4 linked regions of the Drosophila melanogaster genome follow. The protein of the gene in region 3 interacts with the protein of the main gene of each other region in a pairwise test. Each region holds a gene or a part of one and is shown on either strand. Other genes may lie near its edges. The genes, in order: epsilonTry, CG5359, Spt and CG17211.

What was found.
Region 1: the proteins of Spt (region 3) and epsilonTry interact in a two-hybrid assay, tested with the Drosophila melanogaster proteins (one large-scale study listed by BioGRID).
Region 2: the proteins of Spt (region 3) and CG5359 interact in a two-hybrid assay, tested with the Drosophila melanogaster proteins (one large-scale study listed by BioGRID).
Region 4: the proteins of Spt (region 3) and CG17211 interact in a two-hybrid assay, tested with the Drosophila melanogaster proteins (one large-scale study listed by BioGRID).

What each region holds. Positions count from the first base shown.
Region 1 is NT_033778.4:11,342,435-11,349,620, reverse strand, and holds epsilonTry (epsilonTrypsin), read left to right. Parts: upstream 1-3,554; 5' UTR 3,555-3,573; coding exon 3,574-4,344; 3' UTR 4,345-4,384; downstream 4,385-7,186. Other genes in the region: gammaTry (gammaTrypsin), read left to right, coding at 1-527; betaTry (betaTrypsin), read right to left, coding at 2,518-3,279; alphaTry (alphaTrypsin), read left to right, coding at 4,529-5,299; thetaTry (thetaTrypsin), read left to right, coding at 6,879-7,186.
Region 2 is NT_033777.3:9,996,784-10,004,262, forward strand, and holds CG5359 (uncharacterized protein), read right to left. Parts: upstream 4,494-7,479; 5' UTR 4,419-4,493; coding exon 4,157-4,418; intron 4,099-4,156; coding exon 3,839-4,098; 3' UTR 3,790-3,838; exon of another isoform or gene 3,723-3,789; intron 3,586-3,722; 3' UTR 3,532-3,585; coding exon of another isoform or gene 3,395-3,531; 3' UTR 3,243-3,394; coding exon of another isoform or gene 3,115-3,242; 3' UTR 3,061-3,114; coding exon of another isoform or gene 3,053-3,060; 3' UTR 2,988-3,052; downstream 1-2,987. Other genes in the region: Gr85a (gustatory receptor 85a), read right to left, coding at 1-6; Spn85F (serpin 85F), read left to right, coding at 756-1,175, 1,749-2,978, 3,053-3,060, 3,115-3,242, 3,395-3,531; Mical (molecule interacting with CasL), read right to left, coding at 5,652-5,657, 5,715-5,911, 5,970-6,070, 6,127-6,204, 6,264-6,468, 6,591-6,867.
Region 3 is NT_033778.4:8,917,297-8,925,982, forward strand, and holds Spt (spitting image), read right to left. Parts: upstream 5,460-8,686; 5' UTR 5,354-5,459; coding exon 5,273-5,353; intron 5,211-5,272; coding exon 5,043-5,210; intron 4,984-5,042; coding exon 4,657-4,983; intron 4,601-4,656; coding exon 4,276-4,600; intron 4,212-4,275; coding exon 3,489-4,211; intron 3,426-3,488; coding exon 3,324-3,425; intron 3,261-3,323; coding exon 3,211-3,260; 3' UTR 2,974-3,210; downstream 1-2,973. Other genes in the region: lin (lines), read left to right, coding at 1-381; CG34219 (uncharacterized protein), read right to left, coding at 1,040-1,236, 1,296-1,518; CG8248 (uncharacterized protein), read right to left, coding at 2,054-2,170, 2,228-2,794; CG8243 (uncharacterized protein), read left to right, coding at 5,702-5,819, 5,972-7,407; CG8237 (uncharacterized protein), read left to right, coding at 8,466-8,686.
Region 4 is NT_033779.5:12,111,099-12,119,657, reverse strand, and holds the start of CG17211 (uncharacterized protein), read right to left. Parts: upstream 5,299-8,559; 5' UTR 5,008-5,298; intron 1-5,007. Other genes in the region: Phae2 (phaedra 2), read right to left, coding at 7,713-8,510.

The sequences.
Region 1 (7,186 bases), 2.4 Mb from region 3:
CCGTCCTGCAGATCCGTGCTGGATCCAGCTACTGGAGCTCCGGCGGTGTCACCTTCTCTGTGTCCTCCTTCAAGAACCACGAGGGCTACAACGCCAACACCATGGTCAACGACATTGCCATCATCAAGATCAACGGCGCCCTGACCTTCAGCTCCACCATCAAGGCCATCGGTCTGGCTAGCTCCAACCCCGCCAACGGCGCTGCGGCCTCCGTCTCCGGATGGGGCACTCTCTCCTACGGATCCAGCTCCATCCCCTCCCAGCTGCAGTACGTGAACGTGAACATCGTTAGCCAGAGCCAGTGTGCTTCCTCCACCTACGGATACGGTAGCCAGATCCGCAGCACCATGATCTGCGCTGCTGCCAGCGGCAAGGATGCCTGCCAGGGTGACTCCGGTGGCCCACTGGTCTCCGGCGGAGTCCTCGTCGGTGTTGTCTCCTGGGGATACGGATGCGCTTACTCCAACTACCCCGGTGTCTATGCCGATGTTGCTGCCCTCCGCTCCTGGGTTATTAGCAATGCCTAAGAAGTATGCGAAATAAATTTCAGTTTGGATATTACTTTTATTATGTTTCATTGTGGTTTTGACCTATTACTGATTCAACAGTAATGTGTCTTATTCAGCAAATGGGAAAGGAAACCTTCTAAAAAATGTATTCTCACCTCCTGAAAAATAACAAACACCTAGATTTCTGTCGGGAGGTTAATAATGGTTTAAATCATTTTAATAAATTAAAGGTAATTTGTTGAGGTACCCGTTTTCGATCAATTACTACATAGTTTAACTTATGTTAACCGAACTTACTCTTTAACAAAAGAGAATGCTATATTCGAGTTCCCCGACTATCAGATACTCTCGTTACTCAGCTAGTGTCAGGGTGAACGAACTAGCATCTTTCTTCTGGCATATCGATAGAAACTCCACAGTGAAAATGAATGAATGAAATGAATGAATGATATGAATGAAATGAATGAATGATATAAATGAATGAATGAAATGAATGAAATGAATGAAATGAATGAAATGAATGAAATGAATGAAATGAATGAAATGAATGAAATGAATGAAATGAATGAAATGAATGAAATGAATGAAATGAATGAAATGAATGAAATGAATGAAATGAATGAAATGAATGAAATGAATGAAATGAATGAAATGAATGAAATGAATGAAATGAATGAAATGAATGAAATGAATGAAATGAATGAAATGAATGAAATGAATGAAATGAATGAAATGAATGAAATGAATGAAATGAATGAAATGAATGAAATGAATGAAATGAATGAAATGAATGAAATGAATGAAATGAATGAAATGAATGAAATGAATGAAATGAATGAAATGAATGAAATGAATGAAATGAATGAAATGAATGAAATGAATGAAATGAATGAAATGAATGAAATGAATGAAATGAATGAAATGAATGAAATGAATGAAATGAATGAAATGAATGAAATGAATGAAATGAATGAAATGAATGAAATGAATGAAATGAATGAAATGAATGAAATGAATGAAATGAATGAAATGAATGAAATGAATGAAATGAATGAAATGAATGAAATGAATGAAATTAATGAATGAAATGAATGAATGAAATTAATGAATGAAATGAATGAATGAAATTAATGAATGAAATGAATGAATGAATGAATGAAAAAAAAGTTTTGATTGGTTTGTGGGCGTTAGAGTGGGCGTGGCAAAAATATTTTTGGCGAATCGATACAAATTTACAAAACAATAAAAATGTGAAAAAAAATCAAAATATTTTTCAAAATTGTGGGAGGGGAGGGAGGGGAGGAGGGGAAAGGGGAAATATGGGTCTATGTCTCTAGAATCTGTATGCCTAATCTCAAGCTTCTAGCTTTTATAGTTGCTAAGAAACTCGACAGACGGATGGGGCTATCGATCCTGATCAAGAATATATGTACATTATATGATTGGAAACACTAACTTGTAGCTGTTAGATACATTTAAACGAATCTATTATACACTTTTACTCTACGAGTAAAGAGTATAAAAATAAAATGGTTACGAATATATCGTTATAAAGTAAGTCTTATGTAGAATGATGCGTATCGAGCCTATAAAATTCATATTCTTCTTGATCATGATCTAGATTTCCCTATCCGCCTAACGTACAGTCTTGGAAAACTAATAGAGCTTTAAAGTTGTAGTTAAAAATGCATGTTTTATTTACGACTACATTGCGCAAGTTTGCTTCTTAATAATGCCTAGTTGTTTACAATTCCAATCACGCTAATAATCCTTAGGGCATTCTAACAGAATATGGGGATAGTTAAATCCAATCAATCAATTTCCATAGTCCTAAAAGCAGTCCCTTTACTGCTTGCACAACTCACTATATCTAATAGTCATTGCACTCGAACAGTCATTACCATCTAAAAATGTGAACCCTGTGTCCTGATTTTTAACTAAGACCATCTTTTAAAATAAACTGACGACCGTCATAAACTGTTCATATATGATTTATTTCGAAAAATAATTAGGCGTTGTTGATCACCCAGGAGCGGAGGGCAGCAACATCGGCATAGACACCGGGGTAGTTAGCGGCAGCACATCCGTATCCCCAGGAGACAACACCGACGAGGACTCCGCCGGAGACCAGTGGGCCACCGGAGTCACCCTGGCACGAGTCCTTGCCGCTGGCAAAAGCGCAGATCATGGAGCTCTTGATCTGGTTTCCGTAGCCATAGGAGGAAGAAGAGCACCGGCTCTGGCTGACGATGTTCACGTTGACATAACGCAGCTGGGAGGGAATGGAGCTGGAGCCAGAGGACTCGGTACCCCATCCGGAGACGGAGGCAGCAGCACCGTTGGCGGGGTTGGAGCTAGCCAGACCGATGGCCTTGATGGTGGAGCTGAAGCTCAGAGAGGAGCTCAGATGGAGCACAGCGATGTCGTTGACCATGGTGTTGGCGTTGTAACCCTCGTGGTTCTTGAAAGAGGAAACCTTGGCGACGACGCCACCAGAGCTCCAGTAGCTGGATCCGGCGCGGATCTGCAGGGAGGAGGCGGACACGGACTGCAGGCAGTGAGCGGCGGTCACGATCACCCTGGCGGAGTAGATGGATCCACCGCAGGAGTGGCTGCCACTGCGCTGCAGGGAGATCTGCCAGGGGAAGCTGCTGATGGTGGTAGCAGTACCGCCGACAATGCGGCCATCCAACTGGGGCAGGAGACCCTCGGGGATGGTGCCTCCCAGGGCGCAGGCTACAGCCGACAACAGGATCAGGAACTTCAGCATGGTGCGATTGAATGGATACTCTTCGAACCGAAAAGTGTGCTTATATCGGGGGTCACTATCTCGGGAGGCGTTTAATCAATGGACAAGTGAGATTCCTCGTGGTTAAAGTGGATAACGATGTGGAGTGGTCGTCGTGTGATAAGCTGATTATTTCTAAATATCACCGCCTATATCGATGGTGAAAATGACGCAACAATTATGCTGAAGTTGCAGCTGTCAATCAAGTGGAGATATTTGCCGCGGGGACTGTATAAAAGGGGTTTTGATCCGCGAATCAGCATACAAACGATTAAAATGTTGAAATTCGCGGTACTTCTTTCCGTTTTGGCCTGCGCCTTGGCTGGCACCATTCCCGATGGCCTGCTGCCCCAGTTGGATGGTCGTATCGTCGGTGGTTATGAGACCAGCATCGACGCCCATCCCTACCAGGTGTCCTTGCAGCGCTATGGATCACACTTCTGCGGTGGATCCATCTACTCCCACGACATTGTGATCACCGCCGCTCACTGCCTGCAGTCGATTGAGGCCAAGGACCTGAAGATTCGTGTGGGCAGCACCTACTGGCGCTCCGGCGGCAGTGTCCACTCCGTTCGCTCCTTCCGCAACCACGAGGGCTACAACTCCCGCACCATGGTCAACGACATTGCTATTATTCGCATCGAGTCCGATCTGAGCTTCCGCTCCAGCATTCGCGAGATCCGTATTGCCGACTCCAACCCTCGTGAGGGCGCCACCGCCGTGGTTTCCGGCTGGGGCACCACCGAGTCCGGTGGCAGCACCATTCCCGATCATCTGCTGGCCGTTGATCTGGAGATCATCGATGTGTCGCGTTGCCGCTCGGATGAGTTCGGATACGGAAAGAAGATCAAGGACACCATGCTCTGCGCCTACGCCCCACACAAGGATGCCTGCCAGGGTGACTCCGGTGGCCCACTTGTCTCCGGAGACCGCCTTGTCGGTGTTGTGTCCTGGGGCTATGGATGCGGTGATGTGAGGTATCCCGGTGTCTACGCCGACGTTGCCCACTTCCACGAGTGGATCGAGAGGACCGCCGAGGAGGTGTAAAGCCAGACAAACACTTGAAATAAATCGCAATTGAATCAGCATTGATATCTGTTTCTCTATTTGGGCCCAATTGCGTCGCAGGTGTAAAGCCCTCGAAATTGCGGCTAGATAAGAATTGTAGCGTGGGCTGTATATAAGGTTGGACGGGCGGCATGTAAGCCAGCACTTGTTAGCAACGCCCATCATGTTGAAGATCGTGATCCTCTTGTCCGCCGTGGTCTGCGCCCTGGGAGGCACCGTCCCTGAGGGACTCCTGCCTCAGTTGGATGGCCGCATTGTCGGCGGCTCTGCTACCACCATCAGCAGCTTCCCCTGGCAGATCTCCCTGCAGCGCAGTGGCAGCCACTCCTGCGGTGGATCCATCTACTCTGCCAACATCATTGTGACCGCCGCTCACTGTCTGCAGTCCGTGTCCGCTTCAGTCCTGCAGGTCCGTGCTGGATCCACCTACTGGAGCTCTGGTGGCGTCGTCGCCAAGGTTTCCTCTTTCAAGAACCACGAGGGATACAACGCTAACACCATGGTCAACGACATCGCTGTCATCCGTCTGAGCTCTTCCCTGAGCTTCAGCTCAAGCATCAAGGCTATTAGCCTGGCCACTTACAACCCAGCTAACGGAGCCTCTGCCGCCGTTTCCGGTTGGGGTACCCAGTCGTCCGGATCCAGCTCCATCCCCTCCCAGCTGCAGTACGTGAACGTGAACATCGTTAGCCAGAGCCAGTGTGCTTCCTCCACCTACGGATACGGTAGCCAGATCCGCAACACCATGATCTGCGCTGCTGCCAGCGGCAAGGATGCCTGCCAGGGTGACTCCGGTGGCCCACTGGTCTCCGGCGGAGTCCTCGTCGGTGTTGTCTCCTGGGGATACGGATGCGCTTACTCCAACTACCCCGGTGTCTATGCCGATGTTGCTGTCCTCCGCTCTTGGGTGGTGAGCACTGCTAACAGCATCTAAGCTGGTACCCAGTAGGTTGGATGTGTCAAAAGCCTTCAATAAATATTTGCCATTCAGAACATAGATGATTTGTATTTGGTCTGGGTACTTTAACATAAGAGGGTTTACAAAATATACAGAAAGCTTTTGTATTTACTTCTATGTAGTTTAAGTTAGTGGTTAAGCCTAAAGAATAAAGTAGTGGAAGTTGAATGTATTACACATACCACTTATTACACCTTTCGTATTAACAATAGGGAAACAGTTCTCGAGGTTGCCCGCGTCACAGGTCTTATCTTTTGTAGGGTTCACGGGTATTCACATAAAGTAAGATAATTCAACGCACCTTCTGTGATTTTCACCGATTTCAATGGGCTCGAGTGGCTAAAGGTAAACATTTGTCCAGGACCAATCTAATCAACTTCGAGTGCATCGCGTGGCTAGGGTTCCAATTCATCTTCCATTGATAAGTTGAGTGATGGTCTGGACAGCTGTGGCAAGATTAATTAGCCGGAAAAAAATGAATAGATAAGATTGCACAGATTTGGACACTCGAAGTTGAACGTTTTGGTGAACCGTGACTGGTGAAATACTGGACGGTGTGAATAGATGGTAGGAATGGATTGTCTTCTGTTCTTTTTCTTATATTTGTGAATTAAACGCAACAACAATTGCAAAGAATAAACAATTTGCCATATTTTTTAACCGATAATGCTGTTTATAAAAAGTTCCATTATCAATTCCATAATAAAGTTGAAATTTGCCATTTTTAAGTAGAAATTTTGATTGGCAGAGGGTCGTTCATATAGCCACCCCTTATTTTAACGGGTATTTCCAACTCGACGTAGCATTGGTGACGTTTGTGCTAATTTGTGCTTTTAATGGGCCATTAAAATTGTCTCTTCTATGACTTAACCTACTTTTTGGGAATTACGTGTCGTAGAAATCACCTTTGCCATTTCGTAAATGTGGTAAAAGTTATATCTTTGCATGTGAAATTTTCAGTAAACCTCAATTGGGTGAAGGAGTGTCTTGCCTAAGACTCACATATCCACGAACCCCAAAGTCAAGTGAGAAAATATGTCGGAACATTTGGTATGAAATCAAATATATCCTAGTAAATATCTTTTTTACACAAAATTTATTTTTGCACATAGTTCTTGAATAATAATCGTTATAGAAAAGCCATAAATGTTTTATTTGGGTCATCGCTTATTTTTTAAACGGGGAATACTATAAAGGTGTGTCTTGTGAAAAGCTCCTCTAATCACCTAGAATGACAAGGTCATTCTAGCTTGAGGGCAAGCTATCTATATCTAATAACACCCGTTGAAGTGCCGACTTCCGAGTTTAGACTGGTGCTGCACATACACATACATACGTACCGCTTTCTTTGATTGATAGCAAGTCTGATTGATAAGAAACAAGCCTACGGCCTTCTAGTGCATGGTATGCTAATTCCATGGATCAAAAGATCGACCGATACTGTCAGCTGGCCACTCAATGGTTAACATTCCACCCACTTCATCAGCGTATTCGCGCCTGATGGAAAGTTATAAATGTCTGCCATGGTTAACTGATTGGTCAGTGTTTTTCCAGAATGCACAGATTAGTGGTTCTTTTAGTTTGCCTGGCTGTGGGTTCCGCCTGTGCTGGCACAGTCGGGGTCTCCAATGGTGATCCCTTCGAGCGCGAAGGTCGCATTGTCGGCGGCGAGGATACAACAATCGGAGCGCATCCCTACCAGGTTTCCCTGCAGACCAAGAGTGGCTCCCACTTCTGTGGTGGTAGTTTGATCAACGAAGATACTGTTGTCACGGCGGCCCACTGTCTGGTGGGAAGGAAGGTCTCCAAGGTGTTCGTGCGTCTCGGTTCCACGCTCTACAATGAGGGTGGAATTGTGGTTGC
Region 2 (7,479 bases), on a different chromosome or scaffold from region 3:
ATACATAAAGGTATTATTTATTAGGGCCTGTCATTTCGATTACCAAAGATAAAATCAGTTGGGAATACACCCCACGAAGAGCACTTGTTGCTTATAATTAATTGACTTTGGCCAGAACTCATCGATTTCTCTTGCCGCCTTCATATGGAATCATAATCGTGGTTGAAAGGGAAGCACAACGAAAGGGTTGAACTCATAATTTGGATAAAATGTACCAATATTGTTAACAATTTTAGTTTTTTCTTTGGTTTTTTATTCCTGATAAATCAGCTTTCAGCTCTGGGAGGGCAAACATTTTCCGCGTAACATCGACTGTCTGTCTGATCCACGAAGCCGAGCTCGACTATGCGATCCGATGCCAGTTCCATCGATCGGCTGCGGTATTTTAGCCCTCTGCTCAGCCAGCTTTAACTTCAGTTTGGCAGCAGCAATCACGCGAATCAGTTCGAAACAGTAGCGAGACGACCCCATACTATTCGCCATCCGTATCCGAGTCACTGCATCTGAAAAACTATGTGGAAAACGCTGGGGCTTGACGGTTGACGAATTTCAGAATAGTCATCACCTTGAGTGCAGATCATCAGCTGGGCTAATTGAATCGGGATCGCAAAAAAAGTGGAAAATAATGAACGGACTGCAATTGGGGGGATAGCGGATAAAGCTTGCCAATTTTTGTTGCTAAATAGCCGCGAACGCGACAATCAGAGTGCTAAGTGAGCTATCAATCAGTTCGGACCGAGGTCAGCTGCATTGTCATGGCTGGATTGGTGCTACTGTTCACCTGGCTGTTGGTCCACCTACTCCAGGTGGATGCCCACTATATACAAATTGACCATGAAGAATTTCGTGCCAGCGGCTTTCCGCATCCGCACTTTCCGCCGCCTCCGCTAACGCCGCTGGATCATCTACCTCAGGTGCTGGCCGCCAAGGAGCTGACTCCCGCCGAGGTGATGGTGGACCTGACCAACGACCTGACCCACCGCCTGCTCCACTACCATTCCATCCTGAACCGCAACAACTTCGCCTTCTCGCCCACTGCCTTGGTCAGTGTGCTGGTGGCTCTGTTCGAGGGTTCGGCCGGGAATACCGCCGAGGAACTGCGCCATGTCCTGCAGCTGCCCAACAACAGGGATGTGACCCGCGTGGGCTACCGCGACATCCATCGACGACTGCGGGTGAGATTGGATTCCACCAAGTAGGCCATTGTGGCAGCTGCTTTGAACTTAACCCATTGCCATGGGGGGTAATCCGCTCGAGAACGCCATCCAAATTAAGTGGCCACGCACATTTACACGCCTGGCTAAGCACCAGTCCGAAAGTGAGGTGGTTAGAATGGGGAGCACCAAGTGGTCATTGATAAAGAACAAAATGAAAAACCAGATATGCGTACTGACAAACAAATTGCCCCAGGCCCATGACCAAAGCTCAATCGATCTCCAATCTGGTTTCAATAGTTCGTCGACCCCATTGGATCGGTTAATCTCCCAAAAAACTAACCAGCATTTGTTCAAGTGAATAGATTTTTTAATTGTCCATCGTTGCGTACCTATTGCTGATCAGAATTTGGGTAATGAAATTGATCAGTAGGCTCGTTGGAGGGCTAACTTAATTTTAGAAATTTTTTTAATTAGCAGAGTCTAAATAACATATATATTTTACAACTTGGGACTCTATAAAGGACATACTCAGCATATATGCTAAATAATGATTGATAATCTAATGTTATAGATTTTTATTCTATTTTCCAGACTTACTTTTTTGGCTCCGACAATCCACTGAAAGGACTCAGCTTGAACAAGGGCAATGTCACTGTTCTCAAGGACTTTGAGACGGTTCTTATGTTTTACGGATATGACTTAAGTGTAGATATGCTCTCCTCCACACCAGCCAATCTCACATCAGATGCCGAGTTGGTCAACACCACAATGGCCAGCAATACGACGACCATGGAAATGGATGCGGAAACCACAACGTCAAAGGATGCGGAGAGCACAACAGAAGAGCCGGCCACAACAACCACAGAGCCGCCGGCGACGACAACGGCAGAGCCACCAACCACCACCACAGAGACTCCAGCGGAAACGGAGGCCACCACAGAAGCACCTGCTGCAACATCGGGTGAAGAGGAGGCCGCTGAGCCCGCTGGTGAGGATGAAGCAGCCGAGTTAGTGTCCGCTTTTGTAGCCGAGGAGGACTCCGAGCCTCTCTTGCGCATCCAGAAGGCTCGAGTCTCCAGATTGCCCACCAGCAAACTACAGGCGCCGCTAAAGCATTCGAATCCAATCACTCCCAAGCCCATTTACCTGCCCAGTGCGCGAACAGTGGCCATGCCAATGCCAATGATGGCTCGCCAGGTGGCGGAGCGAAAGCCACCAGGAACACGGCAAGTAATTTCTATTATAGCGCCATCCGTGCAACCAGCAAACATATCGGTGACTCGCAAGACGAAGACAGCACGATACAAGCGTCATGCGATACCAGCATACAAGGATCTGGATGCAAATCTCTTTCTGACCCTCTTCAATCCGCACACGCATGTCCCGCACCACCCGCTGCACTTTCCGCCGCCAGTGCCCGCTGCCTTTGCACCCATCACGAATGATTTTGAGCCACACTATATCGGAGAGGCGGCCGAGGGAAAGTCCAACTATAACACGGATGTGATCAGCCACGTATTCTACTTGGGCAATCAACAGGTGGTGCACACCACCTTCAAGGTATATAACGCAGTGCTGTACTACAAGTACTTTGAGCACCTGAAGATGAGCGTGCTGGAGTTGGAATTGGACACACCGGAGTACAACCTAATGATCCTGTTGCCCGACTACCACACGGATATTGTTGCAGCCGCCGCCTCCTTGAAACTGGGACCAACCCTTCGACTGATGCGGAAGCAGTTGAAGCCACGCTGGGTGCAAGCCATCATTCCAGATTTCAAGCTGCACGGCACCATGTTTTTGACAAACGACTTGCAGAATGTATGTATTCATTTGTAGAGTGCATTTTTGTGTTTTTATTGAGGTGTCTTTGGTTTTTGTGCTCTCTGTTGCAGATGGGAATGTAAGCATGGGTGTAATAGCTCCAGTTCCTGGCTTCATTTTACTTTCGTTGCAGCTGCGACGTATTCGAACCAAATCGCGCCGATTTCAGGCCCATGACTGAGGAGAAGGGCGTCTACGTGCGACACATTGAGCAATCCATAGACGTCACCATCCGTACGCATCCCATCAATCAGCTGAAGCGTAAGTGTCTCGCATTGCAGCACACCTGAATGGAATGGAGTGGAGGCATTGAGCCGCAACGCATTGCGAATGCCCAACCTAATGGTGTTGCAACAGTTGCAGCCTCTGCAACACGAGACAAAGTGCAATAAACACTTCCTTTTACTCTCTAGGCAACTACGGCGCCCAATCGAAGCCCATTCAGATCTCTGTGAATCATCCGTTTCTGTTTTTCATCGTCGATCGCGACTTGGACGTGGCTGTGATGTCGGGCCGCATACTGAATCCGCTGAACGTACGCATCCAATGAAGCACGACGAAGGTCGACTATCGAAAGTGATGAACCCTTTGTTCCCGGTGCCTACTAATACGAGATGTTAGCATTGCTTAGATTAAAATGTAAATATACGGGGGTGTCACGAGACTCTGGGCAGATGAAATTTGAATGGAAGTAAAGAAACTTCATACTTAAAATTATCATTAAATTAAACAACATTTGTTGAATATTTTATCTATATAATATTTTTAGAAAACACATCTCGTGACAACCCATTTAATGTAAGCTCACCCCATTAAAGTATAATCCTTAGTCTAACTAGTTCTGTGGGAAATCGGTTTTAGTACTGATACGTTCCAAACACTGTACAGACGCAAAAGAGACTGGTGTTGCTGAAGACCTCGGAGACGGAAGTGTCGCAGTCGCAATCCCAGCAGCAGCGCGAGTTGTAAGTGGCCCCCGCACCCAGCTCCTGGCCTAGCATCACCTGGACCACGTGCTTGTACCGCTTCACCAGGGAGCTGCTGGCTATCTGCTGGTTCACCTCGTCGGCGATCTCACTGGTCCACTTCTTGGCGACGTCCTTGTCATAGGTTTTGTCTTCAAATAGTGAAGTTGCTAGGCAACGCGCAGTATATTTATGGATTTTCACACTAACCTTTGAGTTTCTCGGCCATAACGTTGTTCATTATGCTCTTGATGGTGGGCAGGGGAAACATCTCCCCAAAGGCCGGTCGCATGCTATAGGCGGTGGGCTGGTCGCCGGGCTTTTCCGACTTTTCTTGATTTTCCAAACCATCGGCTGAGCCGGAGTGCAGACTTCCTGACGCCGACTTTTCCGACTTCCTATCCGCTGGGTTGGGCACTGTTAAAGTCTGGACGGATTTGGTTGTTTCCTCAGTGGACTGTTTGTCAGCCATCTTTTGTCAAATTCAGCGTAATTCCCTTTCAAAGTGTTTAAGAAAGCACCAAGAAAATCTTGGTTGCTATGTTTGTTTACTTATTGCTAGTGTTACCAGATGGTAAAATGGCTTTCCCGCCAATCCCTAATTGTCAGTCACCACGAATAACCGAACTTATTTGGTGTGGCCACTTTATAACAACGAAGTGTGGCACCTCTTTCATTTTCTGGATAATTTAAATTTATAATACGCGCCAATATTTTATGTGCGTCAAGTTAGCGTCGATGGCGGAATTTCCCCATTAAAGAACATTTCTTTAAGGACATTTAAGGAAAACTTCACGATAAAGTAGAACTATAAAATCGTCCTTAGGTTTCATAAAATCTTTATTCAATTCAAAATAAATCGAAAAGTTACATAATAAATTCGATAAATATGTTTTTATATATGCAGGTTATAAATAAAGTTACGCAATAATTTAAATGATTTCGTTAGTATACAGTTAATGGTTGCTTTCTCGCTTACATCGCTATGTGTAGGCTCTCGCATTTAGAAAATATTTGTGTGCATCTCTTTGTGTTCACTTTGATTTCGATTGGGGGCAAATGACATAATACATACATGGGTGTGCTGATCGGGAGGATGTGCGGAAGGTGCTTTGTCAAATAAATAATAATACACTCAAACGGTTTACATAGAAATCGACAAACAATCGCTAAGTGAAAATAACCTAAGAAAACTCAAATACACCATTTACATTTGCTCAAAATCACATACCCTTTGCACACGCTCACTACATTACATTAAATAAAAACACAACATATTGCATAGGACATACAAAAATCAGACAGATTTCAGTGGCAACGACTAACAAAACGTACAATTAGGTCGAATACGAAACTAAAGGTATTCGCAAAAACATTCGTAATCCCTACTTTTAAATTGCGAAATTAGTTTTTTGGTTTTGATTTCATCTCTGCCTGTTTTTACATTAACCTTGCGCGCTTCTCCCATATTAGTTAGGCTCTCTACTTATATAAATATTGAAATTGTTCTTAGCCAGCTTATCCACTTTGAATAGTTAGTTGCTCGTTTCGGTTACAGCTCACGGGTTTTAGTATTGTTAATTCTGTATATTCAGCTGCCTTTTTGGTACGCTCTCCCCTGTTCCCTTGTTTCATCTTAAGTATTTAGGCTCAACAGTCCATGCACCACTTCGCAGACCAGCAATCTCCAGGGAAAGTTGGCTATTCAAATCTGAAACAAGTGGTGTTGTCAATTTCAAATTTAAACATATAGGTCCTATTTACTCACGATCGATTCTTCGTGGTCATGCGGTTGTCCCGTCAGCTTAATGCCCGTTGCCTCGGCGGACGTGGATGCTGATCCCGCTGCCGTGAGGTCGAGCTGGGAGGCTGTGGGTCGTAGGGCGGCTCGCTTGGCGACAATTTCCAGCATCTCGTTGAGAATTGCTCCCTCGGCGGCCACATCGGCAGAGCTTTTGTCCAGTTCTGCAATGATGGAATTAAATATTATATCAAAGTTTTGAGAGGAAACTATAACACTCACTGTTGCAGGACAAGCGCAGATTGAGCTCTTCCTTCAGCTGGGCATGCCGATACTCCAGTTGCAGTTCCTGTTGCCTTATAGTCAGTTCCTCATCGCGTTTCCTAAAAACAAAATTACATTAGATTTGTTTATTATAGAGCTTCATTGATTAGCATACTTGAGTGCTGTGATGTTGCGCCAAATCTCCAAAAGTTCCTTAAGTAGCTTCTCGTCGTTGTCCTTTGTCGCATCCAGGCTGTAGAAGAGATTTCATTTAATGGGTATTCAAGGATATAGCCAGATCCTAGCACTCACTTTTCAATATTCTGCGCCTCGCCTCGCAAGGCCTTCTCAATAAGCACGCCGCGTGCCTCCAGATCCTTCAGTTGCACCTCGATCTCCTCCTGTTCCCGCTGAATCTCTTGAGCGATTCGCAATCGCTTGAGCTCAGCTTGTCGTGAAGCCTTCGATATGGCACGTTGCTTCTTATGCTCTCGTGTCTCGTTAGCGTAGCTCTCATCTGGGAAATAGGAAAGGGGATCAAATCAGGCCGTAACGTTTCCGCTTGTATGAATATTCAGTGGGTCGGGACAGGAAAAATGGGTGGACGGTATATGCAGACATAGAATGAGAAGAACAAACCATCGGATCTCTGATAATTCAGTGGAAGAGGCGGTATGGGTGGTGGTGTCTGGTCGTCCAGGGCACTGGGATGAGCTGCGGCCAGGTGGTGGGGCTTGTGTATATAGAGCTGCGGACTGGATGAAGAGAACGATTCGGGTTTCGGTTTCGCAGTGTTCGTTTGCTTTCGATAGCGACTGTTGTTCGTGGTGTTCAGATACTCTTGCGAGTGATTTTTCTGTGATGCGGATGTGGCTCCTGCTGGAGATGCTGCATTGCAGACCAGCATATCCTTGTCCTAGTATAGCATGGCGTTAGGAGGTATCAGAATATATATCGGTTTAAATGATTGAGTGTTTTTCAGAGGAGGAAAAAAAGAGGTCGAGAAAAACGTATGGAAAAATAAACAATATTCAAAATCTTATTAGAAACAGCTTGTTATTTACTAAAATATAGTACATGTAACGTGCAAAATGTCCAAAGGCAAAAAACTTAACACATAACTTTTATTGATTACCATAACCGGGAATCCAGGGAAACCAATCATGCAAAATATCCATTATGCTTAAATCATAAATAACACTTCTTAAACTAATTCCCATTAAACAAAAAGCTGCCAAGTACTTAAGCCATAAACACTTAAAGTTTAAAACACACAACTGAATATCCTTATGTCCGTAAGGTTTCCCTGAAACCCATGCGCTCCTAATAGATATTAAACTAAGAAAACATATATGTTATTTTTGAGGCAAAAGAAATAATTCAGCAGTCAATCTTAAATGTTAAGACTTAGATTACTTTTGCTGCAAAGGGTAAAAGAAAACAAAAAATAAAGTAAATGAAAAGAAATCATAAGAAAATTGTGGCAACTTTATTGTGTTAATAGGACAGCAAACAGACAAAAAGCCCA
Region 3 (8,686 bases):
GGGATATCGTTCCGCAACAACGCCTTCCCCGAGCTGGTGGCCATGCTGAATCCGGTGTACACATTCCTGGAGTTCCTCAAGATGACATCGAACAGCTCGGACCTGCTGCTGGACCTGCTGGTGAGCAACGAGACCTGCTTCCTGCTCTACCTGCTGCGCCTGCTCAAGTACATCCGCATGAACTGGACGATGTTCGTGCACAGCTGTCACACCTTCGGCATGGGCAGCGCCATGCTAGACGAGGCGATGGGCGTTCTTATCCGGCTGCGCCTGCAGATATCCCGCCTCGTGTCGCGCCAGCTCTACCCCTACGACATTTCCCCCGTGCTGCGCCTGCTCGAGAGCTGCGAGAGCCTGTACGAGGGCAACGAGCTGAGCTGAATGCGGCGCAGGGACGAACTTCAACCACATGCAATTAAAATACGTAATTTATTTTAATATTTAATGGAATAGGAGAAACTAGCGCAAAATTCGATGAAGATGGAGGCCTTGTAGAATACGTGTATTAGCCGTAGGGACCAACCACTCCGACCATAACTCCGCACCCCGATCCAGTAGCGCGTCAACCGTAGTTAAGATCTTGCACCCTCTTCATCCGCTTCGCCCAGCAGGTCTTTCAACCCAGATACATACCCAGCTGTATGTAATTGTCATTGTAATTGTAATGAGCATCACAAGTTCGTAGTTAGTTCGTAGATAATGGTTATATCATAGGTACTGAATTCCAAACTAAACACTACGCTAGCCTAAGATTTTTTTAATCTTGCCCTAAGTAGAATAATGTACAATAGGATGGCAAAATGCTGCGGCAAACGGCTGCCCGCCGAAGTGGGCGTAAATTCGGTGTCTTCGAGAAGAATATTCTTTGTACGTTTTTTTAAAACACTTGAATAATATAACATAATTAACTGATTAAAAGAAACGCATTAAGAAGGACTACAACGTGTGCGGTTTCTGTTTCCGAATGGTGTGTTAAAATACTGTAGTCTCTTTGCAATTTCGTTGGGCTGTGTCCTGATCTCATCTGGACTTCTGGACTTCAATGGCGATTTATCATGCGGACGCGCCGCTTTGGATCAGCGGCTCCACTTGGCATACCACTGACTTCTGGTGGTGGCCCAGTGAGGCTTATCACCGAGCCGCGCCTGGCCATTTCCGGAGGATGTGGACTCGATACGTGCACCGTTTGATAGTTAATGCTGATCGGAACCGAGGAGCGACGGTTAAGACGAGGCTCTAGAGAAGAAAGTAGTTGGTCTTATGGGACGTGTCACTTTGTTGTGGGGACTCTTTACCGAAACGGGCTTCTCCGGATCCCGGCTTATGCGGATGCTGCTGACTGGGTCGGCTGGCCAAAGGAGATACCACCCTGTAGTGATACTCCTGAACCAGCGGAACGGACCTGGTGAAGCCTCCCTCATCGTTTAGCGTGTACTTGAAGCGATCCACAGATACGGAACGCTCCTCGCTGATTATATGCTTGCGCCGGAAGATGGGGGACTCATCCACTTTTGGCATGCATTGGGGAAATGTAGAGCGGTCAGTTTGGGATTCGGGGTGAGAGAGGATCGCAGAGGATTGCGTAAAAGCCCAATCGAACGGAGGAAATGAAACGCAAGCTAACACGGCTACGTATGTAAATTGATCACAGGAAAGCACATAGTAATTGATTTATTTTAGGATTACGTACACTTAGGACAGTAATATACATTCGAGTATGTACAACCTTATATTCGGATTCAGTACAGTTTCACAGATAGGTGAAGAGGAGGTAAACAGTGGAGGTCGTTCAAAAACACAGATATCAAACGCATAATCGAGCCCGAAAAGTGCGATGTACAGATGTATAGATGTATAGAGATTGAGGACAGACGAGAGATACACAATACACAACAATACATTTTCCGAAAAAGTCAGAAAACTGGTGCTTTAGAGTAGAGAAGATTGGCTAGTTCAGTACATAGTGGTAGATACATTTAGATTTATAGGATAACAATTCACTTGATCCCTCGTTAACACGGTGTAATAGGCTAGGCACCTGGCCCCCAGCGAGCTAAAACTTTGGCAAAGATTTTGGTGAAATACCTTTTGATGACCGGCGATCCTGCTTGTGGATCTGGGCATAAGATTGCAGCGAGCACCGGCGCAGTCGCTTGTCCCCTTTGTTCTGCTGCCGAAGAAGGATTATTCACGTGGCAATAGGGAATGGAATGCGGGTTATCCTTACCGACTTGTAGTGCTGGTTGATGTCCGAGGCGGCCTTCAGAAGCAGATAGACAAACACAAGGGCGAACAGGTAAATAATGGGCTCCGCTGTGTTACTCTTCTTGCCAACTTCCTTCTTCTTGTGCCCCTCCGGGGACTTTATCAAACGACGAGGTTGCTTGCTGACCCCATTTCCAGTGCCGTTTTTGGTTCTCTTCGTGGGCCTGCCTTGGGATCTTCTTGAAACTGCCTGATTCCGATTGGATTCCTTTCCGAAAACGTCCAACCTCTGGCACGATGCATCTGGAGCGGCGACATCCAATTCGGCGTCGGCCATGGCTTCCGGCTGGGCATGGTGCAGGTCGAAGGCAGCCACGCCCGGCTTAAAATAGTGCCTGTAGTTGCGCTGCATCCCGGCTACCATGAGATACACAGTGCAGAGCACCACGAGGATCCCCAGCGGCACCACATGATGGTTATTTGTATCCGTGTCCCTACTCACGGCACTTGCTTTTCGGTGTTTGGGAGAACAAGGCGGTGGCCCAATCTCTTCGGACAGAGCAAATTTATCGCCGGCCAGAGATTTCATAGCCGAGTGCTTACTGTTTACCAAGCAATTACCGTGTGTATCTGTTGACTGCGAGTCCTGGCTGCCGCTCGTGGTGGAAAATCGATAGGGATTGCCCACACAGCTTCACATGTTGGGTTGAACGAGGGTGTCCAGTGCAATTGAAAGGTCAATCGACCGAGGGAGATGCGCTGACAAGTGTGCTATGTGTCTATATATTTATTGGAACCTATTGCTCTACTTTTACAACAGTCTAAACTGTTTCCGATGCGATACTCTTCGCCACCCGAGGAACATACATGTTTGTGTGTATGCCTGACCTGACCTATGACATTCAGGTGGCGACGTACGTTAAGTTTGAATTGCAAAATCTCTTAAATGGTATGAACTTAAACACTAAACTAAATAAAAAGTTATGTACAAATGGTTGAAATGCTTCAGCATTCAAAGTATCCATTGGACATTCCAGTGAGTTGGTCGAGTATATCTAAAAATATACGAAATTTAATGGAAAAACTTATAAAATAGGAAATGTAATCATTTTAGGTACCTGTGATTTGTAGATCCGTAGACTGATTACTCATGGAGGTGTATAGCTTTCTGCTTTCAGCTATATTCTGCCGCTTGAACATGACAGTCCGTAAACTTTCTCCTGAAAATAGCATTCAAAACATTGGTAACCTTACCAAATTTATCTAAACATCAGCCGACTTACTTCTCAGAACATTTCCATGGGGTTTTGCCTTATCCGATTTAATGTCCAAGGTATTTGTGGGTAGCTTGTTGTCCGTTCGTCTAGTTACTCTATTCCTACGCTCTGTGTCGTAGAGGATACTGCCGCTTCGGGCTGTTTTATAGCCAGTGAAATGGGTTTCGTCTTCATTTACCCCCTTGGTATCATCAGCTAAAAGGGGAGCCAGGGGAATAGGAAGTTCCTCCTCTTGTTTACCAGCTCCCAGGGAGCCGTGCAATTTGCGCAAGATCGTGCGCAAGATCTTGAAGCGCTTGAGGATTCTCTGCGGCTCCACCTGGGATGCGCACATCAAAATAGCCTTGCACTCGCGCAGTACCCGGATGAACTGCTGGTAGTACTCTTCCCCCAATCGGTCCTGCGTTTCGCTTAGACCCTTTCGGTTGACTTCCAGCTGAAAGTGCTCGACTAGCAGCAAAGAGATTTGAACCAAGTCCTCCAATCGCTGCTTATCGAAAAGCTTTTCCGTTGCACTTATCCCTGAGGTCAGTATCTCCAGGCAACAACCAACGAGGGCGCGGCTGTCGATGATCTCCTGAAGCGCTGCCTTGAACTTGGCCACCTCCTCGTTAAAGTGCTGCTCTAGGATGTCCGAGTGCAAATCGGAACCATGGGCCTGCAGTGAAGGTATCAGAGTGGTGTCCAGTGATTCAAAGGAGGCCAGACAGCTGCGCATTATGGTTTTCACTGAAAAGGAATTGGTACTGGAGTTAATTGCGTTTTTTTTTATAATTATATATAATTATTATACTTTTCAAGTTGGGCGCAAAGGAAATGGCAAAAATGCCTATCTGGGTGGCGCGATCTATGTTCACATCAAAGTCCGCTATGAACTCATCGGCCAGATCATCATTATCTGGGCTGTTCCTTAACAGCGCTCTAATTTTGTCTACCGAAAACTTCTCGAAGTCCAGGAAGCATGTGAATACCAAGCGCAAAAGCGCATCGTTGATAAAGTCCTCCAATTGGTAAATTGCCTGTTCCATGGTCATGGCCCGCAGCTTAAGGGTGGACAGGTAGTTGGCACTGAATGACTCCTTGCACTCCTCCTGAAAGGCATTGCACTCCCGGATGACCTAGAGCACAAATGAGGGGAATAAATAAGGGGATACTGCAGAAGATGTACACCCACCTTTTGGCACAAGGCACTGAGAGCCCTCTTGTCCTGAGACAAAGCCACATTGGCGAATCCCAGAGATTGACCCAAGATCAAATCAATGTTGGCGCGCAACTTCTGGCTGAGTGGAAGGACTTCCTTGGGAGTCTTTGGACAGTTGGAGGTATCGGTGTTTTCCTCACTGTGCGAGGTGAACTGCGCCAAACAATCCAATGCGCCATCCACCAGCTTAAGGAACGAGCGCTCCGGAGCTACTGCTTCGGAACTCGATTCTTCGCTGTAAAGATGCATGAGGCGCTTCAGGCACCAGCGAATGCGGTCCAGGAAGTACTGATGACTTACCTGCTTTCAGAGGATTAGACATCATTGTGCAATGCATGGATGAGATCCAAATTACTCACCGAGACTGTGGTGCCGCATTCTAGTTTCATGGTGTTCTCCACTTGGCGAATGCAGATCATAATCTGGCTGAGGCAGAGGCACACCAGCTCCGAGCACTCCGACTGCCCCTGGGAGCAGAAGGAGCTGTGGGCCAAAGTAGCGAATTCCAATAGCACGGCGCACAGGTCCTGAAATTCAAAGCAACAAGTGATTGATGTCCTGGGGCTAGTGGTCCGTTTCCCCCACTTACATTCAGCCAGTTTGCAGCTGCTGCATTGTTCCTGTTCAGTATCAGCAGGCAGGCCTCTAGTTTCGTTCGCAAAATTTCCATTTTTGCCGGCAAATGTGAGTTCAAATGTTCTGTGGGCAGAAGTAAAAGTAAACAACTTTTTTAAAAAGTGGCTTCGGTTCCCTGTGAATGGCAAGATGGCACGGCTTGGCGTTAGTGACAACCAGGGAGGCTAGCTGCCTTCACCGCCACACGGTCCCACTGGACGCATCACTTTTTCGGTAGCAAAAACTTGTAGAAAATTGTCAATTCAATTCGCTGGTAGTTGTATATCCATGTGAAGCAGAGATAAGCTCCGCCAACTCTACCCGTCGCCCACGCCACGTCGCACAGTTGCGCCCCGCCACAAATATCGAAACCAGGCCTCACAGACCGCAAGCATACCCCAAAATGAGCTCCTCGAATGCGGGACAGCGCACGAAGCTAATTCAGGAGAAGTGCCAGACCCTCCTGACGCAGATGCTCCGCGACGAGGACAACAAGTACTGCGTGGACTGCGATGCCAAGGGTATGTTAATGGGGTCCACTTCTCCGCCAAGAGATACGCCTCTTGGTGACGCACATCTGTGTGCGTGCGTGCGTGGATATACACACCACACATGCAGCTGCACTGCGATATGAGCCTATGTGCTGTCACTGAATGCTACCTTTTATCCTTAGGTCCGCGCTGGGCCTCCTGGAACCTGGGCATGTTTCTCTGCATCCGCTGCGCCGGCATCCATCGCAATCTGGGCGTGCACATATCGCGCGTCAAGTCCGTCAACCTGGACACTTGGACGCCAGAGCAGGTGATCTCGCTGCAGCAGATGGGAAACTCGCGGGCTCGCGCCGTCTACGAGGCGCAGCTGCCGGACGGCTTCCGTCGCCCGCAGACGGACACAGCGCTGGAGAATTTCATCCGGGCCAAGTACGAGCACAAGAAGTACCTGGCCCGCGAGTGGGTGCCTCCCTCGCCGCCGAAAGTGGACTGGGCCAAGGAGATCGACGAGGAGCTTGAGCGCCAGAAGCGCAAGAAGAAGAGCACGCAGGCCCAGGCCACTTTGGGCCTGGCTGGAGTGGCCGGTGGCAGCGGCGACAAGCGCCTGTCCGGGTCATCTGCGTCGGCGCTCAAGAACACCCCCCTGCCCGCGCCGCTTCCAAAGCCGAAACCCAACCAGGTCGGCGGCTGCAGCCCAAAGACGACGCAACGCGTCCAGCTGAACAGCAGCGGCGTTAGCAGTGCCGGCGAAAGCGACCTCTTGGGACTGTCCTCGCCCACCAAGCCCATTGTCGCGACCAATGCCAGCCAAGACCTGCAAAACGAAAGTTTCACCAGCTTTCTCAGCGCCGAATCGATTGCCGGCCAGCCGGATAAGCCGATTGGCAGCAACGGCGACGCCGCCAATTTGATGGGCTCGAAGCCGAACTCGCTGGCACAAGAGGAGCAGGACTTCTTCAACCAGGGCTCACTGGGCGCCGGCGGCAACGAGAAGGATCAGTCTGGCAAGATGTCCAAGGACAGCATTCTGGCGCTGTACGGCAGCGCGCCAGCCACCCACAACCCCCAGATGAACTTTGGCGGCTTCACGGGCATGGCCCCAGGCGGCTATATGCACCAGCAGCAGCAACAGCAGATCCCCCACCAGTTTATGACACCGCCGAACTCGGTGAGCATGTATAATTCGCCAGTTATGGCTGCACCGAATGCGTTCAGCAATGCTGCCATCAGCAGTGCCACTGCGATGAGCATGGGCGGCTCCCATGGCTTTACTGGAGCCCAGTTTCCCAGCACCGGGGGCAGTCCCTATGCTGCCGCAGGCCAGGCAGCTGCAACAAATCTTATGCAAACGAACCAGAGCATTCTCAGTGGGATGCCGCTCTTTGGAGCTGTTCCGCAACAGCAGCAGCAACATCAGCAGCAGCTTCAGCAGCAACATCACCCACAGCTTGGCGGCCTCTCCATGAACTTAATGCAGCCCCTGCCCAGTGGGCTGAACATTGGCCAACCGCCACAAGGAGCGGGCGGATTTGCCGCAACGGGGCCCACCACCTCCTCAGTACCGTCAAATCTGAACCAGCAGTTTGGGAATCTTAATATCGGTAATGTGTGGCAATAAATACGCGGTGTATTTATGTAGTTGTATTCCTTTAATTAATTGTAAGACACGAGTGTTCGGTTCGTCTCGGTGTTGCAACATGTGTGTGTGAGACGGCGATGCTTGTTTATATACATTCGATTTATACAACAACTTGCCAATTTAGTTAGTTGTCCTATTCGTGTTCGTAGAAGAATTCATTGTCGAGCAAGCCACTGTATTAAACGATGTTCATGTCCATGTCCATCTCCATGTCCACCAGGAATCGCGTCTGCTCGTCTAAATCTATTCCAATTAAATCATAAAAGGTACATACATACGCGTGTAACACCCAACTACTTAAAATTGAAAATTGAACCACAGAACGTAATGCACTTTCCAATCAAATGTACATGTTATTTTTCAACATTAGCTAGGTATTTGATACGCATGCATTCAAAATCGTCCACGCCAGGGTACGAATGTAAGGTGTAGACTTCTGGCGCAGTACTTTTTAAATGCTTGATATCCTTAAGAACTTATTCACGCCTGTTTGTCAATGTGAATCTAAAATATCATGGCGGGTTGTCAACGGATTTATTGTATTCGATTCTTAAGTTGCTATGTCTAAGGAAGAAATCAAACCACTTCGAACTGTGTAATAATAAAATATTCAGACAATTGTATGTGCTTCGTTGTGTCGCTGATTTCAAAGTAAGTAAATACGGGTAATGTATGACCTCGTGCTTTTAATTTATATATTAAAGAACTACAAAATGCATTACATTTAGTTCATTAGATAAACAGCTTCTTGTTCGGTTGCCCAACTACTTTTTATTCAACATTATAGTTGTATGTACAAAAAGTTAGAATAATATATTTTCGAATTTTACGTACTATCAAATATTTCGCATCAAAAGTTAAAGTGAGTCTTCTTAAATTTTCCCGCCCTGCTTGAAATTCACAGGGAATCGTATTTAGCAGTATTTGTCATTCGCAGCGATACGCCGACACACCCTACCGATTGCAATACACGTCAACTTGTATAAATAAATAAAAGCCAGCCAAATAACAAAATCGATCATTGTGAGACTGAGAAAATGGGTGAACAAGGCGAGGAGACGGGTCAGAAGCTTACGGAGCGCTCCACCAAGGAAGCCTACTTCGAAAGCCTCGCCGAGTGGGCCAAACAGGCGACGCTGGCCCAGAATGCGATGCTCATGTTTCCCTACTACCTGATGGCCAACTACCCGACCATGTTCCCGGGACTGCCTTCTTCCGCTGCTCTCCAAGCAGCCGCCATGGGACAACCCCAAGCACT
Region 4 (8,559 bases), on a different chromosome or scaffold from region 3:
CGAAGAGCAAATGCTCTTGGAGGAAGGTCCTTCGGATGGTCATGTCCTCAGCGGAGATGTCATGTTAATTTCAGATTCCTGGAAGCCGCGATTTCGCATGTTGGTGTTAAAGCCACGACGGTATGTGAGTTTTCTGAATAACTAAAGAGGTTTTTGAGGGACAACGAAAATATATATTGTATATATACCCTATCTTTCTAGCACCCCAATGGGTTAACCCATTCACTAACTTCCCTCGTGCCATTAGTCATAAACTTTAATTGAATCTCTTTCGGGCAGTTGAATGAAGTAATAGCTAACTTGTTAATTAGGAATGTCCAAAATCGGGCAGTTACATGGATTGGCCAAACCCTCAGCCCGCAAGATAGATAACTAAACGTGGATCGGGTGAAAGTCAAGTGAAGTGGAGTCGGACTAGCTAGCTTCTCCTTCACTGTAATGAAACTAGAACAAACTGCACGATTGTGGCAAATGGATAAGAGCGGAAAACCTGCAGAACTGGGAAAGGTTTTTTTGTGTCGTCCAGCTATGGCACCTTTCACAAAAGCCAAAACCATCAGCGAATCCACAAACGAAACTGCGCCAAGCAATCAACCGAAAGTTCTTAATACCCCCAAGTACCTATTGGCAAATTGATGTCGCCCTGCTTTGGTTCTTTACTATACTAGTTTTTTAGGTACAAAAGGTTCCATTCGAGGTTAAATAATCGGATTCGTGATGCGGCCAGAACGGCGTAATAAAATTGTCAACATGACAGGCCGCGATTAATATAGAGTTCATATTTTTGTAATGCATAAATCATGCAGCAGATGGAACGTGCTCCATTGCCTTGCATTACTTTTCCCACAATTTAAAGATGCGACTCCTTGGGCGAATTCTAAATTCAATTGCTAGAGATGGCACTTATTTGCGGAGTTATAAGTGGTTTCATATCTTTGAAATATATATACCAATTAGTAAAATCGAAATTTGAAAGAAATACCAAGCTTCGTGCTTTAAATTCGTATAGACCACATCTTTAAGATGTGTCCCAGTTTTTGAAGTCATGGCAAGTGCATATATTGTGTGGTTTAGAAAACTCCATAAGTGCCGCGAAACATGATCATAATTCCATCACACGCGCATCTCTGTGGGCCAAAGCCAACGACCGGCCAGAGTTTGTGGCAAACTTGTTCTGACTTTTGTTACAATTGGCGATTCCTTTCTTTTTTTTTTATTCAGCTTTCTAGCGCTGCAAGACAATGCACCATAAAACTGCAATGGAGTTGTGATCGCTGTTGTTTTTTTTTCTTTTTCCTGGCTGCTTCTCACTCCACCCATTTCCATTTCAGTTGCCATGCAAATTTCTGACTCGTGTTGTTTTTCCGTCTCGAATGTTTTCCTCTTTCCGGGCACATTTGTCAAGGTGTCTTGTAAACAAGGAAACCGGGCAGCCCAAGAAAATCCAGAGACTCCAAAAGAATCCAAAAGAACCCCAAAAGAACCCAGAGCCAAGCACCGTTAGATCAGATGCAGACATAGTGCTTATATAACGCATTGCGCCAGCCAATTGTGTTTTTTTTTTTTATTGGTTAACTCTTTAGGCCATAAATGGTAGTGACAAAAGTCGGAATTTATGGCCCGCTGACAGCTCTGATAAATAACCCAAGGCCCGACTTTGGCTTAGAGTGGCCCAGGGTTTGGTTTTTGTATTTTGTACTTCAACTGGCGTTGGAATGGGGCGTGCTGCAGGTGGGGAAAGCACCTAAGAGAGCCATAAAATGTTTTATCTTCGACTCTGTTCTTGCAGCACGTCGCCGTGAGGAGTCCGAAGTTAATTAGCAGGGAATAGATGGCTTTTAAAATTCCTCCTCCTGTGGCAATTAATCTGACAATGCGTTACAAAAAATGTGCCGACAGAAGTCAAGGAAGCACATGGGTTTACGTTTTATTGAAGCATAGAACAAAGGTCATAAAAAGGAAATTTATATCTCCCCATTAAATTGTATTAATATCTATGGGAAAAATGACACCTAAGTGTCCAAATAAAATACATTTATATATAAGCTAGGTACTAAAATGTTTGGTTACATAAACAACAATCTAATAGATTAATTACGAAGCCCATATTTTGCATAATATAAACCTCATATATGGACCAGCAACACCCTTTTATAGGGGTAGGTATATCTAATTTCCATAAGTCTGCTTATTTTCCGTGTATTTCGCTGATGTTATTCGGATAGTGGCGACACAAAAGAAAGAGATTCTCCTCATATGGCCAGGCTAAGTTTGGTTTGGTTTTTGCTTTTTCGCTGCCTTCTTTATACGTGCACTCTTTTTCAGCTGCTTGCCTCACCGTTGCAATATCAGATTACGTGCGGGCCAGCTTTTGTTGTTCTTGGCCGGGTAATGGGGCCTCTCCTTAAGTGCCCAGTGCTATTCGGCATATCAGATGTTGCTAATGTGGCCGCGCTAACTGTGGGCTGGACTACAGCGCTCCACTTGAAAGGAGAGTTTAGATACCAGATACCAGATACAAGATACTTTTTTTTTCGACCTTGAGATGGCGGTCGAAGCTCAGCTCCCGGCCCTGATAATCGAATTTGTGGCACACCACACTTTGGTCAGATTATCGAGATGACCAAAGGGCAGTCAGGAAGTTCTTTTGATACCTTAAAGATATCAAGTGGCTTTGTAAGCTCATTAACTCGACTAGGCTCTACAAATTTCTGGTAAGATTATTATTTTTTACAACTAATTGCGTAAGTGAATAAAATGAATTTATTATTCTACGATTTTTGACAAACATTTTTAAAATTTTCTTCAGTTTCTCAAAGTTGAGACTTACATAGAATATAGGTCATTTATGCACCATATAATTGTCGTGTATTTCGACTTCCAGTTAAAGACATTATTATATAGCCTAATGAAGCTTTCTTCCCGTCTTCGTACCCAAGCTCGTAGATTTCCTTTAGCTCCCTGAGTTCTTTCACTAACATTTTCAATTGCAGGCAATTAGCAAATTCTCTTTTGGCTCGCCTTAATGGCCGTCTAACGTAAAATGTCGTCTTACACACGAGTTTTATAGCTTCCGCTTTGCATTATCAAATATTATTGGTGTTGTTCTACCGCTTCTTATAGCTTCTTCTTTCTACCTTCTTTGCGATTGCATGTCGTCACGTCAAGCTCCAAGAAGTGGCAAGAAGAAGCAGTAGAATCGGCGCAGCAGCTGGATGGAAGAGAAAAAAACCCTTGGCTATCTAATGATGATCATTAGGAGCGGTACTGTAATCACACAGAAGCCAAACACAAACTCAAACTCCCAGCTCAACCTTAAGCCAGTTCTCCTTCTTCTAGCGCAGCTGCTTCTTCTTGCTTCTTTTTGTCAACATAAAACGGTAATTTCTTAAACAAAAAAGTAAGAACAACATCACAGTCAGTATCTGAGTAGCAAAAGATTACTCTGAACATTTATACACAGGAAACAAAGACGAGTATATAATAATGACAAGGTAGATCTTAGAAATCCACATTTTTTCTTACGTAATGTATTTTGAAAGATTTATTTGTATTAAGCCGAAAGATAGATTTATTTTACTAAGTATTACATTTAATAAATAATAATAATATCTTATTTTATATTCCCATTTTAGGATGGACAAACTTTGCCCAAAACTTGTACGACGGTGATTTTTTTCTAAGTTATATTTATCTTTTATTTGTTGACCCTCCTTTTTTGTGCAGTGTAATTAAAGCCAGTGCAACCTACATTCTCTCCCTTGATCTCCACACTCTCGGTCTTCTCCCTTCTGGTTTCCCCGGTTTTCCAATTCCGAGTGCGTTTTTTGCGGCTGTGCGACCATTGTAACGGCTTTGATTTGTCTTAGGAAGTCGCCTAAGTTTTTTTTTTGTCGGCGTTACCTTGGGTTCGTCTTGCCCCAATTGAACCTCCCCGCTTTTCTCACAGTGTGCCCCAGTGATGCGACTTTTTATGTTTGCCTGCCGCTGCTGGCATCTTAACAGTTAAATGCTTAGTTTACATCATTAGCATGCCGTTTCCAGATATTTTCTTTTCTTTTGGCTAATAAATAAGCAATTTGGTGGCTGCTTCTTTTACTGTCATCGACTATTTCTTTAATTGGTCTGCGCAAGCTGGTAAGCATTATTTAATTAGCATAGATTTGCTGGGAATCGGAATAACTTGATTAACATTATACAGTTGGGAATTTCATTTCTAATTCAATTAAATAAATACACCATTTACTTTTTATTACCAGAAAGTTCGTTGCCTCAGTCTTTCGTTTGTATTGAATAAAATATGAATTTTCATGTTCTCTTTACGCTTTGATAAATACGCAAAGAAGTGCAGAAATCTTTGATAATATTATTAGAGTCTTCCAAGAAACGAATTAAAATGTATATGTTGTTTTACCGCACTCATTACACCTAGATCAACACACAGGAATCGTTGCCTGTGGAGTCAGTTCGTTGCCTGAGTCTTTCGATTGTGTGTGATTTTGCTTTTGTCTCTGCGGCCGCAAGAACGAGTGCACTGAAGCATGGTCTTTTGGCTCCGGCTGTAGGTTTTTGTGTGTGTCTACTAGTATTTATTTATCTGGCCACCAAGTCGGTGGGTTCTATTAACCATGTAAACAATACCGTTAACACGACACGACGCGGAAAATGCTTTTGGCAGCGGGAGCGAAACAGATAAATGAAATGTGCCGCAAGAATTTGCCAAGTTGGTGGCGGCAAAGAGGGACGTGCCAACTGCATATACCACACCCCCCCCCCCTACGGTAATGCATCACAGAATTGAACAACAAGAACAGCTACGTAGAAAAAAAAAGCGTGAAAAAGAGGCGACAGGAAAAACGGTTTGAGGAAAACACTTATTAAATTTTAGCATGCCCAAAGTGTGGAAAGAGCTGGCGGCGAGGCCACAAAGAACCGCAACAACGACCCCAAGAACGAACCAAGAATTCCCAATGATGCATTCCTGGAGTTTTCCGCAAGTTCACATACCTGTCCAGTCTGAGGTTTTCCTATATCCACTCTAACTGTGGGGCACAAAAACAAAAAAGCATTGAATATAACTCCACAGCTTAGTTTATTATTGATTTGTTTGTTTGCTTATGCTTGCACTTCACCACTGCCACTCAAGGGTTCGATCATCGTTGACCACAAGAAGTGTCTTCTAGTCTTTGAGTCTTCGAAGAAGAGTCATTTATTGTGTTTTTTTTTTATTATTATTTTTATATCCACCTTGCGCGTATGGTTTTCTCGTTCTGAACGCGTCGCGTGCTGTTTTCAAACTGAGGCTCAGCAACAAGTTCGAGTTGCTTTTAAGAAAAGCATTCGGAAGAAAGTTGTCTGCATACTGAATTCTTTTTCTGTTCGAGCGCGCCAAAGATTCTCGTTCGAAAGCTGCAGCGAAAGAGATATATTCTCTCGAGAGAAAGAGAGCATCTGCTAAGAGAGTCTTCTCCATTCCACCGAAGGGAGATTAATTGCTGGTTGTACTGCCGATAAGCATGAAATGTCGCTTGTCCGCAGTTTGTTGGCCAATTAAAAATTAGATTTCGCTTTAGATTTTGTCCATAAGATTGGCCAAAGTTCGCGGAACGATTGCAAAGATAAAAGTTCGGACGGGCTATTTTTTTGAAAAATAAAAACCTTCAATAGTTTATTTAAAGAGTTGAATGAACTAGAAAGTGACAAGCTGCCTTCATTGACACCACACATAATTGTCCGTGACATGTGATTAAAATAATGGTGTAACTTTTGCGGGGCTTTACTTTCAACTTCATGTACACAAAATTATACCTAGCATAATGCAAATATGAATATTATTTGTTAAGACAAGAATTTATTTGTTCACACATATTTTGTATATTTTACACTATTTACTATTTTTTCAAACACATTAGTCACTTTATTTGAATCAACAATGCAATCTATACCTCTTATTTATGGCCCAATCATATCTAACTCATTTCAATAATCCGTTCTTCCCTTTACCAATTATAAAACCATTCGCAGTCTTTCCGACCGCAGAATCCCGACATGAAAAAATATAATAATATATACTTGCGTGTGTATATACACAAAAGACCATAAAGCACAGACATTCATTCCGATGCCAAATGCCGACGCCAATAAAGCCCCCAAGTAAATAATTCCAGGCATTACTCCATTACTCATAATGGCGCAGCCAAATGTCGCGGTCGCATCCTCATCCTCATCCTCGTCGGCGGAGGAACGCAGCAAACGATTGAGGGAGCAGGGATCTGGAGACTGGCGACGGAGGAGCAGCCGCCCATGTTGTTCGCCAGGTTGCATAAATCTGTTCGATTCATAACACAAAGATTGCGAAGGAAGCACAGTGATCTGGCCTTGCCTCAACTTTGCTCAGATGAATTTCTTTTGTTCAGAACGGAGATGACATCGTGAATGCAACATAAGTTTGTATTCACTTTTATAAACTAAAAACTCTTTTTAAACTTATACTAAACAAATTTTTTGAGTTTTAAAACTTGTTCTTCATAATATGCTGCAAATGATCGCAATTGATTACTCTCTATAAGAAATGCAACTTCCACTTTTTCGAAATTCGGGTGGACTCACTGCGGCATCTCTGGTTCCCGCATGGTGACTCCTTTATCAGCCTTGTCTTCATCGATCGCGTCGGAGATTTTGTCCGTCTGATGGAGGCGGGGGTCCGTCGGTGGGTCTGTTCTGGTGGACTCCCCTGTCCATTCCCGTTGAGTCGTCGCTTTGTCTTGACTCCTTGGCCAGGCAGCTTGACTGGGACTTGGAGGCGTGTTTGGTTGGGGGAATGGAAACAGAATAATATAGAATGAAATATTTATCGCCATTAGAGCCTGATTAGCTGCGGGCGTGTTCTGGCCATCGTTCTTTGGGCCACGTTCCGCGCTCTTGGCCGCCTTGCTTGCGAAGCTCTTTTGGAGGCACTTAATAAGCTTTGCTGGTGTGATTGTGATGGGAAATTGATATGTCCATTCAATTATGTACTGGTCGTGTCAATAAACTGATTGCGATCGTGTCCAGCAACTTACCGAGCAATTAGTTTCCCAATAAGAACATTCCGATCAATATGATTGATAAAAACAGCGATTGAAGAGGAGTGTCTGGGATGAAATGAAATCTGGACGTGCTGACACCAAAAGTGAGACGGATTCAAAAGCAAAACTCATTCCAAGTGCTAAGTTCCCTGGGGAGTATAGTGCTCAGAATAGTTGTGCAATAGAAAAATGGAAAGTTAATCCGGATATTTCTTGGTAAAGATAACATCTTGTTGACATTACCCTTTTTTGGTTTATATTCAGTTTTTTATAACAAAAGAAAAGATAAAGCTTATTTTTATATCTTTATTTTTGCTACTTCTTGGAAAGCTTTATCTAGTTAAAATTGGGTTCACATATAAGTTGGATATCTAAAACATTTATAGTCTTATCTGATTTACTTTGTTATAAAATATATATATACATTGGTTACCATCTTCTTAAACTAGCTCTATTTATTTATTAGATAAGATAATTCGACATATAACAAAATGTATATAAATGCTTTTAAGTTCTTTCAAAGATACATTACAATCAATTAATGCATGATTTTAAAGACTCTAAAAGTTGTCATTTATAATAAGCACGTGATACTGCAATCTCATAAGTATTTCTTTATTCAGATACTATCTTATACTCCAGAATTCATTTCTTTTGGTTGGCTGCTATCCATGTTATGAACGAGGAGACCTGGACATACACCGACGGAGAGTTGGGCTGACCACATGGAAGTTTTCCCCAAGACACGATGCCGATTAGAACGTTTCCCTGGACCAGCGGACCACCGGAGTCCGAGGTGCAAAAGCTGGTGCCGCCGGTGAGAGGACCTGTGCACAGGTTCGTGGTGTGCACATCCTGACCCTTAGAGCCAAGTGCCGCAGCGCAGGAGTCGAGGCTTATGATGGGTATGTTCTTCGCCTCCTGGAGGGTTTTCGGATATGAGGGGCTATTCGTTTTGCTAGTACTGCCCCAGCCAAAGAGGTCAGCCTTTCCAGTTGGCCTCACGCCGGACGATGGCAGCTTCACCGGAGCCACTGCAGCGGTCCAAGTGAAGGCGGTGGGCGTGTAAATCAATCCGATGTCATAGGGCACAGTTCCGCCGGTATAAAGATCATTGATCACATAGTGGGTGATTTGCCTCTTCTGTGTTGTGCTCGCTGTTCCGGCCACCGCAATGCTTCCAGCCACCAGGGTGCTTCCAAGTACTTGATTCCTATTGGCCAGGCAGTGAGCAGCCGTTACCAGCCAGTTGGAATTAATGATGTTAGCGGCGCAATAGTGAGTTCCTCCGTACTGCATGGACACTATATACGGAGCACTATTGGCCGCCGCCGCTTTTCCACCCACAACGCGTCCTTCGGGTTGGTCCAAGGCTAATCCAGATCCTTGGGAAACGCACACCGCCAGCAGGAGGATAGTGGCCAGGTGGCGATGGCGCCACATGGTTTGTTGTCCATTCGCAATCATGGTTTTCACAGAACTGTTTACATTG